Linked DNA regions of Cricetulus griseus. The protein of the gene in region 3 purifies or fractionates together with the protein of the main gene of each other region. This does not show direct contact. Links are inferred from orthologs where the notes say so. Each region holds a gene or a part of one and is shown on either strand. Other genes may lie near its edges.

Region 1 (3,723 bases), on a different chromosome or scaffold from region 3:
CTCACTGTAGAGCAGCCCTAAGACTGCTGTGTGTTCCCAGTCTATCTGATGTGTCTTTCCCGGTGTGTTCTCAGCCTGGGTCCCGTGGACTCTGACATGAGACTCAGACTCAGCACTGGGGAGCCCTGCTGCCTAAGCCCATGTACCAATCACTTCAGTCAGTGCACAGTGGGTTCCTTAAATGGTGACTGTAGTGAAGGGCATTCAGCAGTCTTAGGAAAAGGCTGTCAGTAACTCAAACCAAACGAAACACACAACACAACAGGCCACAAGACTTAGTGACTTATTTTATAATGTTGTATGACGACACATAGACGAAGTCTGTACGGAAGTGCTAGTAGTGATTTTGGTTGTGTGGTGATGTGTTAATGTTTCCCATGTCCATGTGTGACCACACTTCATAGCAAACATTCTGCATGGCTGAATGCAGGTAGAGCGTTTGCTTAGCATGCGTGAGGCCCTACGTCCAATTCCCAGCACTGCCAAAGCAATCAAACAAAACAAAGCTGCTGTAAGTTCTGGGCACAGTGGTCGGCCCTTTACATATCCTTCTGTAACCACCTCCCTCTTGAAAAGCAAGGGGGCGGGGCTCAGGGAAGCAATTCTCTAATGTTGTAAGACTACAGAGCTGGTGTTGAGACCAAGGTTCCCTCTGGATCTGAACAGCTGTGCCTGGCACCAGGCGCTGCTCAAGGGGTGACTCCCAAGCAGCTCCGCCTGCTCGTCGGCTCCTGTGAACACTGCTGCAAGGGCTGTACTGAGCACACCTCACAGGCGCGATGCCTACCATAGACGCGGCCAGTCAGGAGCTATATAGGGCGGGGCATTTGCTTCAACAGATCTGCCCACTGTGTTTTGTCTTGAAATTATGCCAAGGGCTTGTGTTTCTTCTTAGTTCAAGATGATTTTCTTTTTCAGAACCTGAGATTGAAACAGACCCACAGACAGACAGACAGACAGTCTCTCTCTCTCTCTCTCTCTCTCTCTCTCTCTCTCTCTCTCCTCTCTCTCTCTCTCTCTCTCTCTCTCTCTCTCCTCTCTCTCTCTCTCTCTCTCTCCATGTCTTAAAGATGCTTTGGTCCTTGCAGGCAGACATCTGGTCCCTCGGCATCACAGCGATAGAACTGGCCAAAGGAGAGCCTCCACATTCCGAGCTGCACCCCATGAAGGTGTTATTCCTCATCCCAAAGAACAACCCTCCCACACTGGAAGGAAACTACAGCAAGCCCCTCAAGGAGTTTGTGGAGGCCTGTTTGAATAAGGAGCCCAGCTTTGTGAGTGTACCCCGTCTCTGTGGTCTCAGCTGGTTTGAATTTGTTCTTTTGGGGTTGTCCCAGTCACTGTTAGCCACTGTCTCCATGAGCTCATACATCTTTGCAAATGAGTTTGATTTCTTGGAATTACAGAGACTTTTGTTGTTGCCATTTTACCTTTTAGGGATTTAAGATGTAATTATTTTGTTTAGAGTTTTCTAATGTCTTACACCTCATTGAACCTGGAGAATATTCTCTGTAGAACTGGAGTAGGGTCGGCAAGTTTTTAGTGCTCAGAGAGAAACAGGCTGTAAACTGGAAAACTACTTTGGTAATGGCAGAGGCTGGCCTGAAGATAATGGCAGTAAATATTGTTTCCAGTTGTCGTGTGCTGTGAGGCAGACAAATCAGACACATGGGACCTGCCCATCTCTGCCTCCTCTCCCTGGCCCTCTGAGTTTATTCAGCGGTGGCAGAGCCCACGCACCAGCCACATTGAGCTTTGCCTCCTTTTCCTGATAACTGGGGCTTTCCTTTGAAAGCAGCATGTAATTTGTGTCACGTGTAGCATCCTGTGTCCACGTTTTGGGTTTCTTTGAGCAGAGTTAGCTGGCAGCAATGCTTCATTGAACCCTAAGAATATCCATGAGGGGTCCCCTTGGCCTCTTGTCTGAAAATGGTGAGAAAAGCTGAGTTTTCCAAGAGTAGTTCCCCCGTCGGTACCAGCTCAGGCAATGGAATTGATCATATCGTGGCTGCAGATTGAGGTCAGCCTATCTGTCAGCATTTGGTCACTGGGGTGGGTGTGGTCTTGCATGAAGTCCACTTGTTTGATTGCTCAAGGCACAGGGTAGCATCCACAGTATGTTAGCATCCGGGAAGAGACCAAGTGTGTACACATCTTCTAAAGCATGTCAGTGCTCATTTATTACTAGGGTACACCCCTCCATCTTGGCTTGTCCCTGGACCTTCAGACAAGAAGGTCTGCAAAGCTGAGAATAGGAGCACTTGGGACGATGGAGAAGGGGAGGCCACTGGGGTTCTCAGAAATCATGGCTAGAGGAACATGCTGTTCTTACAAGAGGAAAACGTTGATTATCTGGAGCAGGTGGGACTATGGTGTGCCTGGCTGGCACCTCTGTGCTTTTGCTGTCTGTCCCTGGTTGGGCCACTCTGTGTTGAGGGAGCTTTGTGCCAGTAGATGGGAAACCACTGGCTAACCTCTGGGTGTGCCATTCAGTTGGAGTTGTGCCACGTCCAGGTGGTGATAGAGTTGTCGGCCCTTGACACTGGGGTAGGGATAGGTTCACACACTGACTTTTCTAGTTGGGAATGCTGGTGACCGACCAGTTGTGTATCTCCTGACTCCTGCCCCAACCTGTTCTAGATGAGTCTAATTACTGAGTTGGTTTTAATTTGTGGTATTAGCCTAACACTGTAGGAAGTCATGAAGAGCATGTATTTCCCTTAGTCAGCACTTGTCATGAGGTGCCATGTAAAATAGGAGCTACTCTCTCAGGCAGTGCCATGGAAACCAGGAGAAGCTCTCTCGGGCAGTACTCACAAAGCTCTCCCTCTGTGGAGTTACTGTAGAAGGGCTCTTGCTTCAACCTAATGGTTCTGATAGAATGTTTTTGTCCATGTTGGGAACTGTCACATTTACCTTGTGCCTGTAGTCTTGGGCATAGGTGTGGAGTGACTGATCTGGTGTTTTAGCCCAGTGGTCTGGCTGCCCGGGTGGAATAGAGTAGGATGAAGAAGACACTTCTCACGATTATTTGGACGCTTGTGTTTTCCAGAGACCCACCGCCAAGGAATTACTGAGGCACAAGTTCATAATCCGCAATGCAAAGAAAACGTCCTACCTGACCGAGCTCATCGACAGGTACAAGAGGTGGAAGGCGGAGCAGAGCCGTGACGACTCCAGCTCGGAGGACTCGGATGTGTAAGCGGCCCCGCCCCACAGGCTGGAGCTACCAGTCCTTCCTGATGGACTGTGTGTGCATGCGAGTGTCTGTGCTTTGGGCTGTGTCCCTTCCTTTTGGACTTACGCTGAGTTTTGTGTTGTACACGTGCCTTGTTTGAGGTTCTTTGTCCCCGCACTGCCATGGGGTTTGAGTGAGTTCTGCATAATTAGAAGCATAGGCAGAGTTGTGGCAATAGCTTCCTTCTCTTCATTACCCCTGACGATACCCCCCTCTAAAGGTACTGACAGACAGTCCTCGTATGCAGTGCTGAAGAGAAAAGAAAGAATGCTTTGGCGACTGGTCGGTGTTGCTCTGTGTGGGGCAGTTACTCACTGAAAGCGGGTTCCCCTAAGCACCACGTTGTGCCGACTGGCGTGTGAAGTGACTGGCACCCTCCAAACAGGAGCTAGAGGGAGGGTGGCCTGGCTGTCTTGTAAGAGTGAAAGGAGGCACCTGGAGGCCCCATAGCCATTAGCTAGCATCGTGTCTCCATGCCAGGACAG
Region 2 (4,151 bases), on a different chromosome or scaffold from region 3:
AAATGAATCTCCAATCCACAGAGTTTTGAGTCCTACTAGAAACATAAGTTATGCAATGTTCCAGACATTTTCTAACTTGAAAAAAAGTTTCTTTGGTTGGTTTAGCATATTTAAAAGATCACATAAAACCAGTGGCAGTGTTTTTAGCCTCTGATCTATTCTTCATAAAGGAGTTGTTTATGCTACCAGGTGGTGGGGGTCAAATGTAAATGGTTTAAAATGTTATAGTGGGTTTAAAAAAAAACAAGATGTGTAAAAAGTCTGTTGACATAGATTTTTCCCTAATAAATGATACCATAATGGGGCAGAACTGCATAGACATCGAATAGGAACTTGGATCCCACTCAGTAGTCCTTTGGACTGGACAAATGCTTAATACACCTTATGAGAGAGATGAAGAGATGGGCCTGGGAAGTCATCCCTTAGGTACTCAGAATGGGACCCTGCATTCTTTCCAGCACTTTCCCCTGTACAGGTGGGGGAGCGAGATACAAGTTTGCTTTAAGTAGCACTGAAAGGGAAAAGAAGTCATCTCACTCTTCTCTCTTTGCACACAGGAAGAGCCCAATTCAATGCCACCACCACTCCTGGTGTCGCTCCGCCCCAACTTCTGTGTGTGTGCCGTGTGGGGGGCACCGCTTGGGTGTTTTAGCCCACACATCCCAAGATCCCTTCATCTCATCTAGGTTAAGTTCTGGAACAACACCGCCACCCCCCCCCCCCCAGTCCTCAACCATGGCATGATCAATAAGCCAACAAGTACAGGTGCCTAAGGTTCTGGCCTATTTTTATATGTGCACCCCTCCCCGCCAACCCCAACCCCCATTTACTGTCGCGCCCCAGTCGCCCCAATCTCTCCCGCGCAAAGCACCTTCTTAGCCCAGACACCAGGAAACACCTCGAGCTTTACTTCGGGGTCACCTGGAGAGAGATCTGGCCCTACCTTCAGGTTTGCCCGGTGGCTGCCCCTGGTCTCTGGTGCCCAGAGCGGGGCTCTGGAGCAGTCACGTGGGTGGCAGAGGAGGCCTGGGCTTTCTCACCTGCATCCCGGGCACTTGGACAGCCACCGGTGAGTGGGCCATGGAGGCGATTGCTACTTCGCGCTGCTTCTGCGGTGGTGGCGCCTTCGGCTCAGACTGGCTCCTCCTACAGGGGTAGCTCGGTTGCTCTCCCAGGCTTCTCGATCCGGGCCTGGAAGGACGCAGAGAAGTGGAGTTAGTGGGCTGGAGGCTTGCAGCCTCCACTCCTCCAACCCCCTTGCTGGGAGGTGAGAGGTTCGCGGCACTGCTCCCCGGGACTCAGTTTACCTCTCAGACACCCGCCTGCCGAGGTCGTGGCCAACTGGGTTGCTGCTCCTCTTCCTGAATGCAGGGCTGTTCGTGCGGCAGTGGCTGGGACCTGGGCTCCAGTGATGCCGCTCGGCTGCGCCTCGCCGCTTTAGGAAGAGGAGGTGGAGGCGCCCCAGCAACCCGCCCGATCGCTTAGCCTGGGAGGAGGTTGGGGGCGGTTCCGCACTTGGCCCTGCCTCCACCCCGCTGCCGGGCGGTGTCTGGGGAGCTGAAGCTTCAGGCTGCAAAAGGGTTTGGCTAAAGTAGCTGGAGTCAGAGAAGCAGGAGACTCTCCGGATTTGTAAAAAGCAGCAGAAGCCTGGGATCAAGAAACTTGGAATACAACTGGGCCTGGAGAAAAATAGAAGAGTGTGCGAGAGCTGGAGTCGCGTGGGGGATATGAGGGCGACCCGGATGAACCCGGCCACGTTGCAGACAGGCTGGGGAGGCTGTGTACCTCACAGAGGCGTGTAGCCTCACAGAGGTCTGTAGTTGAAAAAGTTTTGCTTGGCTCCCCCACCTGGCCGAGGGTGGGGCCTCCGAGCCAGACACCTGCTCCTTCAGCGCCTTAGGCTCCTGTCCTCTTGCTTTTCAACTTTCTTACCCCTAGATATGCCTCAAGTCACTTTATCATGAACCTGTCCCTACCTTAGGCTATCAGTTAAGGAATGGAGTGGCTGAAACTTCTCACAATTTCTGCGTGTTTAAAAGAGCGGCAAATTGGAACGGATCGCCCATTGGCAAAAAAATTAAGGAGGATAACAGGGGCAAGGAGCATGAGATTAGATCTTTGGCAGCACAGATAGTTATACTTAGCATACATAGCCATGACTTCTGCAACCCTTTGCCCTTTTCCAATTTAAACTCAACTCCAGGAACAAGGCAAGCCCTTTTGGGGGGACCCAATAACAACAGTGACAGTGATAATAATAGCAGTCACAGGAATCTCAAGGAAGCACCTTTGTGTACACAGAAAGGGCTAATGCTAATAATAGGCAAGAGCCAGTCTAACATGAGAACACACCTTTGCAGTTTGTTCCGAACCTATGCACCCAACACACTGTGGGGGAAGCTCCAAGTAGACACTCAGCAATTGCTATTCTCAATTAATTATAAAGGAAGAATAGCATTTGTTGAGTGTCTGTTTTCTCCAAGAGAAGAATCTGGTTCTTATCAACATGGTTATTACTAATATTTTATTTTCTTTGGGCCAGACAGCCCTAAATTCAGGCTTTGTGTTTTGTAGTGAGTTACTGTGACAAGAGCTCACCTGGGTCACACTGCTTTCTCCCCATTGAGCAAACAGAGCAAAAGGCTCAGCCAAGTAAACATTTGACTCAAATACTGCAATTAAAAAGTGATACATCAGAGAATTCCAATCTAGGTACCTCCTGACTACTTAACTACCTTCTATATGGTTTCTGTTTACTTGGAACGTTATTAAAGGACAACATTGCGTCTTCCTTAGTCATAGTGCTTCAAGTCTAAGTGTTCTCTATTTCTACCAAATCTAGTGTCTATTTCCCACTAGCCCAGCACACACTTTATACTAGCCTACTCAGAAGCATGCAATGCCACTTAAACTTTAATGCCCATAAAGATCTCAAAGGGGTTTGCTTGTTTATTTGTTTGTCTGTTTTTGAAGACATGGTCCCACAATATTTGTTTGTCTAGCTTTGGAGACAAGGTCCCTGCCTAGACTGGAACTCCCTACATAGACCAGGCTGGCCTCAACCTCACAGAGATCCACCTACCTCTGCCTCCTGAGTGTTGGGACTGAAGGCGTGTGCCACTGTGCTGGGTTCAGAGGATCCTTTCAAAGTGAAGATTTTGAACCTGCAAGTCTGGAGTTAGCCCAAGAATTTGCACTGTTAACAAGGTCTGAGACGATGAGATGAGACCAACAGTGATTCTTAGTAATGTGAATCAGGCTCCATCATTAAAGACCCACCTCAGGTAGGTCCATTGAACTTTCTTAGACCCACCATCCAATTTTCATAGTTGCTCTGTGCTCACATTCAGAATCCTACCATGTGTACATGGAAGCAATGCTTACACTGTTGATCCTTCTTTGTATTTCTGACATTGCATGCCTTTTATTTGACCACCAACCTTACTATGTGCTTGAGGCCAGAGATACAGCTTCTCTTCTGTGAAAGTTATTCAAGAAGAATGGTAACTCTCTGACAGTGATCTTGCTTGTTGTTGTTTACTGCAGTATTCCCAGAGCCCTGCAATGTTCTGTGGCACCAAGTAGGTCCTCAATATATATTTGTTAATTGAGCAAATGCATTTCCTTAGAATTCTTTTCTGATGTTGGTATGTGTATTCTGAGGAATATATATATATTAAAGGCGTGCACCACCACTGCCTGGCGGAACAGTATATTTATTATCAGGCTAAACTCATAGACACTGCTCTTGGTTAACCTTGAAGTTTTGATCACTTTTTATATGTTTTTATATATATTTATATATTTTTAATATATTTTTATATACCATTCAATTTTGGCCTAATGTGTTGTTTCCAGCTACTTAAATTTTACAACTACCTAAGAGAATGTTTTATAGTTCTAGTAAACAAGTGAACTCTAATCATAACAGAGAAATACCTTTCCTGACATCATGCAAGTCTAGAATGATGCAGTAATATTGAAGAATTAACACTAAACTTTGACATCTAGTCTACTGAGACAGTTTCTGAATGGCACCGATGAGCACCTTTATTTCAGGTATGTTCATCTTGAATAAACCATTCGTTATTGCTACTATTGATAAAGATCATTTGGGGATTTATTTGGGGTTCCTTATGGATTTGCTTATG
Region 3 (3,723 bases):
GGAAAAAAGAAAAAGTCAAAAACAATTGAAAATTCCTTGGTATACTGTTTCAAGTGTAAAATGTTAAGTAGCATTAAATTTTTGAAACCTAGTAATTTGCCTGTTTGTTTGTCTGGTTTCTTGAGACAGGATCTCATGTAGCCCAGGCTGGCCTCAGCTCTCACTGTATCACCAAGGATAACCTTTACTATGCATGTGGGAAGGTTTTGTTACCATGCCCAACAAAGTACCTGTCTGCTCTTGGGTCTGTAACCCAAGCAGGGCATTAAAATTGTCAGAATCAGTTGGTACTTACAGGTCTATAATTAGAGAAAGCTGATAGTCCTGTCTGAATTTGCTGAAGATTCTCAGTGTCTACCCTTCACTGTCTGTGGCTATTAACTAACCCCTTCACCACTGGGAAAGATTAGGATTTGAACAACAGGTGATGCTGTCACACTGCTTGTAATGGAAGGAGAGTTCCTCAGTCACATCTCCTTGCCCAGCCCCCAGCATGCAAAGGTAGCTTTATCTTTGTTGTTTTGAAACAAGGATTTGTGGATTCGTGGAGCTCCCGTTAGGCTTGAACTCACTACGTAGGTGAAGATGACCTTTCAACTGTACCTCCCCAAGCACTGAGATGACAGATGTGTCTTCCCATACCCAGTTTAAGGAAGAGTCTTTATCTCATCTTCTGAAAATTCACTCTGAACCAGCCTCCCACAAGCACCTGCTACTTCCAGGTTCCGGCTCTTTGGGATCCTGAGGGTAAAATGGCTTCCTCTGCCTTACTGATGACTACCTCTCCTCAAACTATTTTCCCACTTCAGAATGTTATTAAAGCTGCCTATCTGGGCCTGGAGAGTGGCTGAGCAGTGAAGAACTCCCAAAGGGCCCAGGTTCAGTTACTATCACACCCACATCAGACAGCTTACAAGCACCTGTAACTGCAGCTCCATAGACTCCGATGCCTCCATGGGCAACCACACTCACGTAGTGCACACACTCTCTCACACATAAATAAATAAATCTTATAAAAAAATCTTTCTCCCCTACTAAAGCCTCTCCTGTCTCTGAGACTTTGTAGTTTCTTTCATTCCTTTCTGTAATTTTAAAGGGCTCTCAAGAGAGGATAGGTAAAACATGGCTACATGAGGTAGCTGACAGTGCTGTGCCCTGGAGGTCTGGGCTGAGCCACCTCTGAAAAAAAAGCTACTGAGTAATAAATACATCCCCATCTAGGATATTGTGTGGTTTGAGCAAAATTACATGGTTAGTGTCCTCTTCTGCTTGTTTTTTCCTTGAAACTGGTGTGGATCCTTGAGCACCAGGATAAAATTCCAAATCATTAAGAGTTTTGTGAAAAAAATCACCACTTAGGATCCCAATAATTGAGCCTTCTGCACGTAGGATGAAGTAGGAGTCTTCCCTGTTTTATCTGGGTATACCAAAATAGATATTATTGCTGGCCGTTGGTAGCACAAGCCTTTAATCCTAACATTCAGGAGGCAGAGGCAGGTGGATCTCTGTGAGTTTGAAGGCAGCCTGGTCTACAGAGTGAGTTCCAGGACAGGCTCCAAAAGCCACAGAGAAACCCTGTCTTTAAAAACCAAAAGAAAGGGGGCTGGAGAGATGGCTCAGAAGTTGAGAGCACCGACTGCTCTTCCAGAGGTCATGAGTTCAATTCCCAGCAACCACATGGTGGCTCACAACCATCTATTATGAGATCTGGTGCCCTCTTCTGGTGTGCAGATATACATGGAAGCAGAATGTTGTACACATAATAAATAAATAAATAAATAAATAAATAAATAAATAAATAAATAAATAAAATCTTTTAAAAAAAACAACTGAAAGAAAGGAAGGAAGGAAGAGAAAGAAATAGGTATTATTAGTTTAGTAAGGAACAGGACAACCCACTTGAGATGTTTAATTTCAATGGTAGTATTGAGAAGAACACCTCAGCCTTGTACACACACACACACACACACACACACACACACCAAAGTAGGTCTCTAGTCGCACCAAACTGCATATGATTCCCCAGACTTCTGCTAGTTCTCAAATCTTCTCAACCCCCACAGCTAATCAGTTACTCTCTTGTCTCTGCATTCTTCTGCACATACTTCAGCAAAGTAAATATCTTGTTTGCTAGCACATAGCTTGCATGTCTTTCACCCTGCTAGACAGCATGCTCCTTGACGGCCCTGGCTGGATTTCATTTATTTATTTAATCTGGAACCCTCAAGTGTTGAGTGGTATAAATGTGATTACTTGGTATTTGAAAGTGAATGTTTTAAAATCCTTTACAGGTGATCCTTGACCTTGAAGAAGAAAGACAGAGGCATGCGCAGGACACCGCTGAAGGAGATGATGTCACCTACATGCTGGAGAAAGAGAGGGAGAGACTGACACAGCAGGTAACTCAAGCAGAAAGATCATGATGGCACTTGCCTAAAGTGACATTTCTTAGGGTCATTGTCAGTGTACCAAGTTACATTATAAGTCTTCAAAAAGAAGATAGAATGTTCCATGTATATCATGTCTTATTTCCAATGTCGTCTTTTTTTAAACATAGATTACTTGGGGGTTGGAGAGATGGCTTAGTGGTTAAGAACACACAGTTTGGTTCCCCGACATCCATATCAGATGGCTGACAACTCCCTGTAACTCCATCTCTAGGGGATCTGATGCCCTCCTCTCATCTGCAATGACAGGGGCACTCACATACACTTAGCTCCCTAGATGCACCCACAAGTACATACAATTTTAAAGATAAAACAAACAGATCATTCAGTGGAACTGTCATTTATAGCACATTCTTTAGAGGTCTCTGATTTTCAGGATTTTTTGTTGTTTCACAATCTACAGTAACAATGTGGCCTATCGCAAACCAATATGTCCAAAGCAAAGATTACAGGACACGCAACAACCCTTTATTCCTATAGTACACAGTGGTATTTTCAGTCTTTTAGATCAGGCTAGCTTTGAACTCACACTTTTTTTTTTTTTTTAAAGTATGATCATGGCTAACCAAATTGATTTCCCCATCCATTAATGTATCTCATTTTGAAAATCCCTGCTTAGAAGGGTTCAGTTCACCCTGTTTCCTCTCATTCAGAGTCTGGAGTCTGTGTGATTATGTTAGACAGTTAGACAAACTACATTTATGTAGATCCAAGGATGGTGGTGCAAGCCTCTAATCCTAGCAGTTGGAAGGAGGATTTCAAGTTCAAAGCAAGTCTCAGAGTAAGACCTTGTCTAATGAAAACAGCAACAAAAGGAAGATTTAAGTGCAGCTACTTAAGTTTTTTTTTTTTTTTTTTTTTTTTTTTTTTTTTAGATCAGAGAAAATGATTGCTGGAACTTTTAAGTTTGATTTTCAGCGGCATCCATCCCCAGATCTAGCTTACATAGTGTTCTGTTATTTGTTTTGGCTGATTCTATGTTCTCTCCACATACCTAAAACACAATGGTGCATCATATTCCCGCTGTTCACCCTGAGGCAGTTAGGAACTCAAATGCCTCCCAAGTCATCAAGAAATGATTAAATCATAGTATGTGGGGGTTCTGTGTGGGATGTTTTCATACTTCAAAAATACTAATTAACCTAAGCACCGTGGCGTTCCTGCTAATACCGAGTGTGCACCAGAGAGCAGCTAGCGAGGGCACTCTACATGATCATAATTTTCAGTGCATCCTTTTGTTTTCCTACTCTAATCAAGATGTGTGGTGGCTTCTTTT

The links.
Region 1: the proteins of Cttnbp2nl (region 3) and Stk24 purify together in Homo sapiens (affinity purification with mass spectrometry; 3 studies listed by BioGRID and IntAct, with this or other methods). This does not show direct contact. The link is inferred for Cricetulus griseus from reciprocal best matches to the Homo sapiens genes CTTNBP2NL and STK24.
Region 2: the proteins of Cttnbp2nl (region 3) and Stk26 purify together in Homo sapiens (affinity purification with mass spectrometry; 4 studies listed by BioGRID and IntAct, with this or other methods). This does not show direct contact. The link is inferred for Cricetulus griseus from reciprocal best matches to the Homo sapiens genes CTTNBP2NL and STK26.

The regions. Positions count from the first base shown.
Region 1 is NW_023276807.1:271,171,555-271,175,277, reverse strand, and holds part of Stk24 (serine/threonine-protein kinase 24), read left to right. Parts: intron 1-1,088; coding exon 1,089-1,274; intron 1,275-3,052; coding exon 3,053-3,198; intron 3,199-3,723. UniProt on the Homo sapiens protein: Serine/threonine-protein kinase that acts on both serine and threonine residues and promotes apoptosis in response to stress stimuli and caspase activation.
Region 2 is NC_048604.1:19,104,084-19,108,234, forward strand, and holds the start of Stk26 (serine/threonine-protein kinase 26), read right to left. Parts: upstream 2,801-4,151; coding exon 2,758-2,800; intron 2,673-2,757; coding exon 2,599-2,672; intron 1,778-2,598; coding exon 1,308-1,777; intron 1,192-1,307; coding exon 1,041-1,191; intron 1-1,040. UniProt on the Homo sapiens protein: Serine/threonine-protein kinase that acts as a mediator of cell growth. Modulates apoptosis. In association with STK24 negatively regulates Golgi reorientation in polarized cell migration upon RHO activation.
Region 3 is NW_023276806.1:51,977,914-51,981,636, forward strand, and holds part of Cttnbp2nl (CTTNBP2 N-terminal-like protein), read left to right. Parts: intron 1-2,291; coding exon 2,292-2,399; intron 2,400-3,723. UniProt on the Homo sapiens protein: Regulates lamellipodial actin dynamics in a CTTN-dependent manner. Associates with core striatin-interacting phosphatase and kinase (STRIPAK) complex to form CTTNBP2NL-STRIPAK complexes.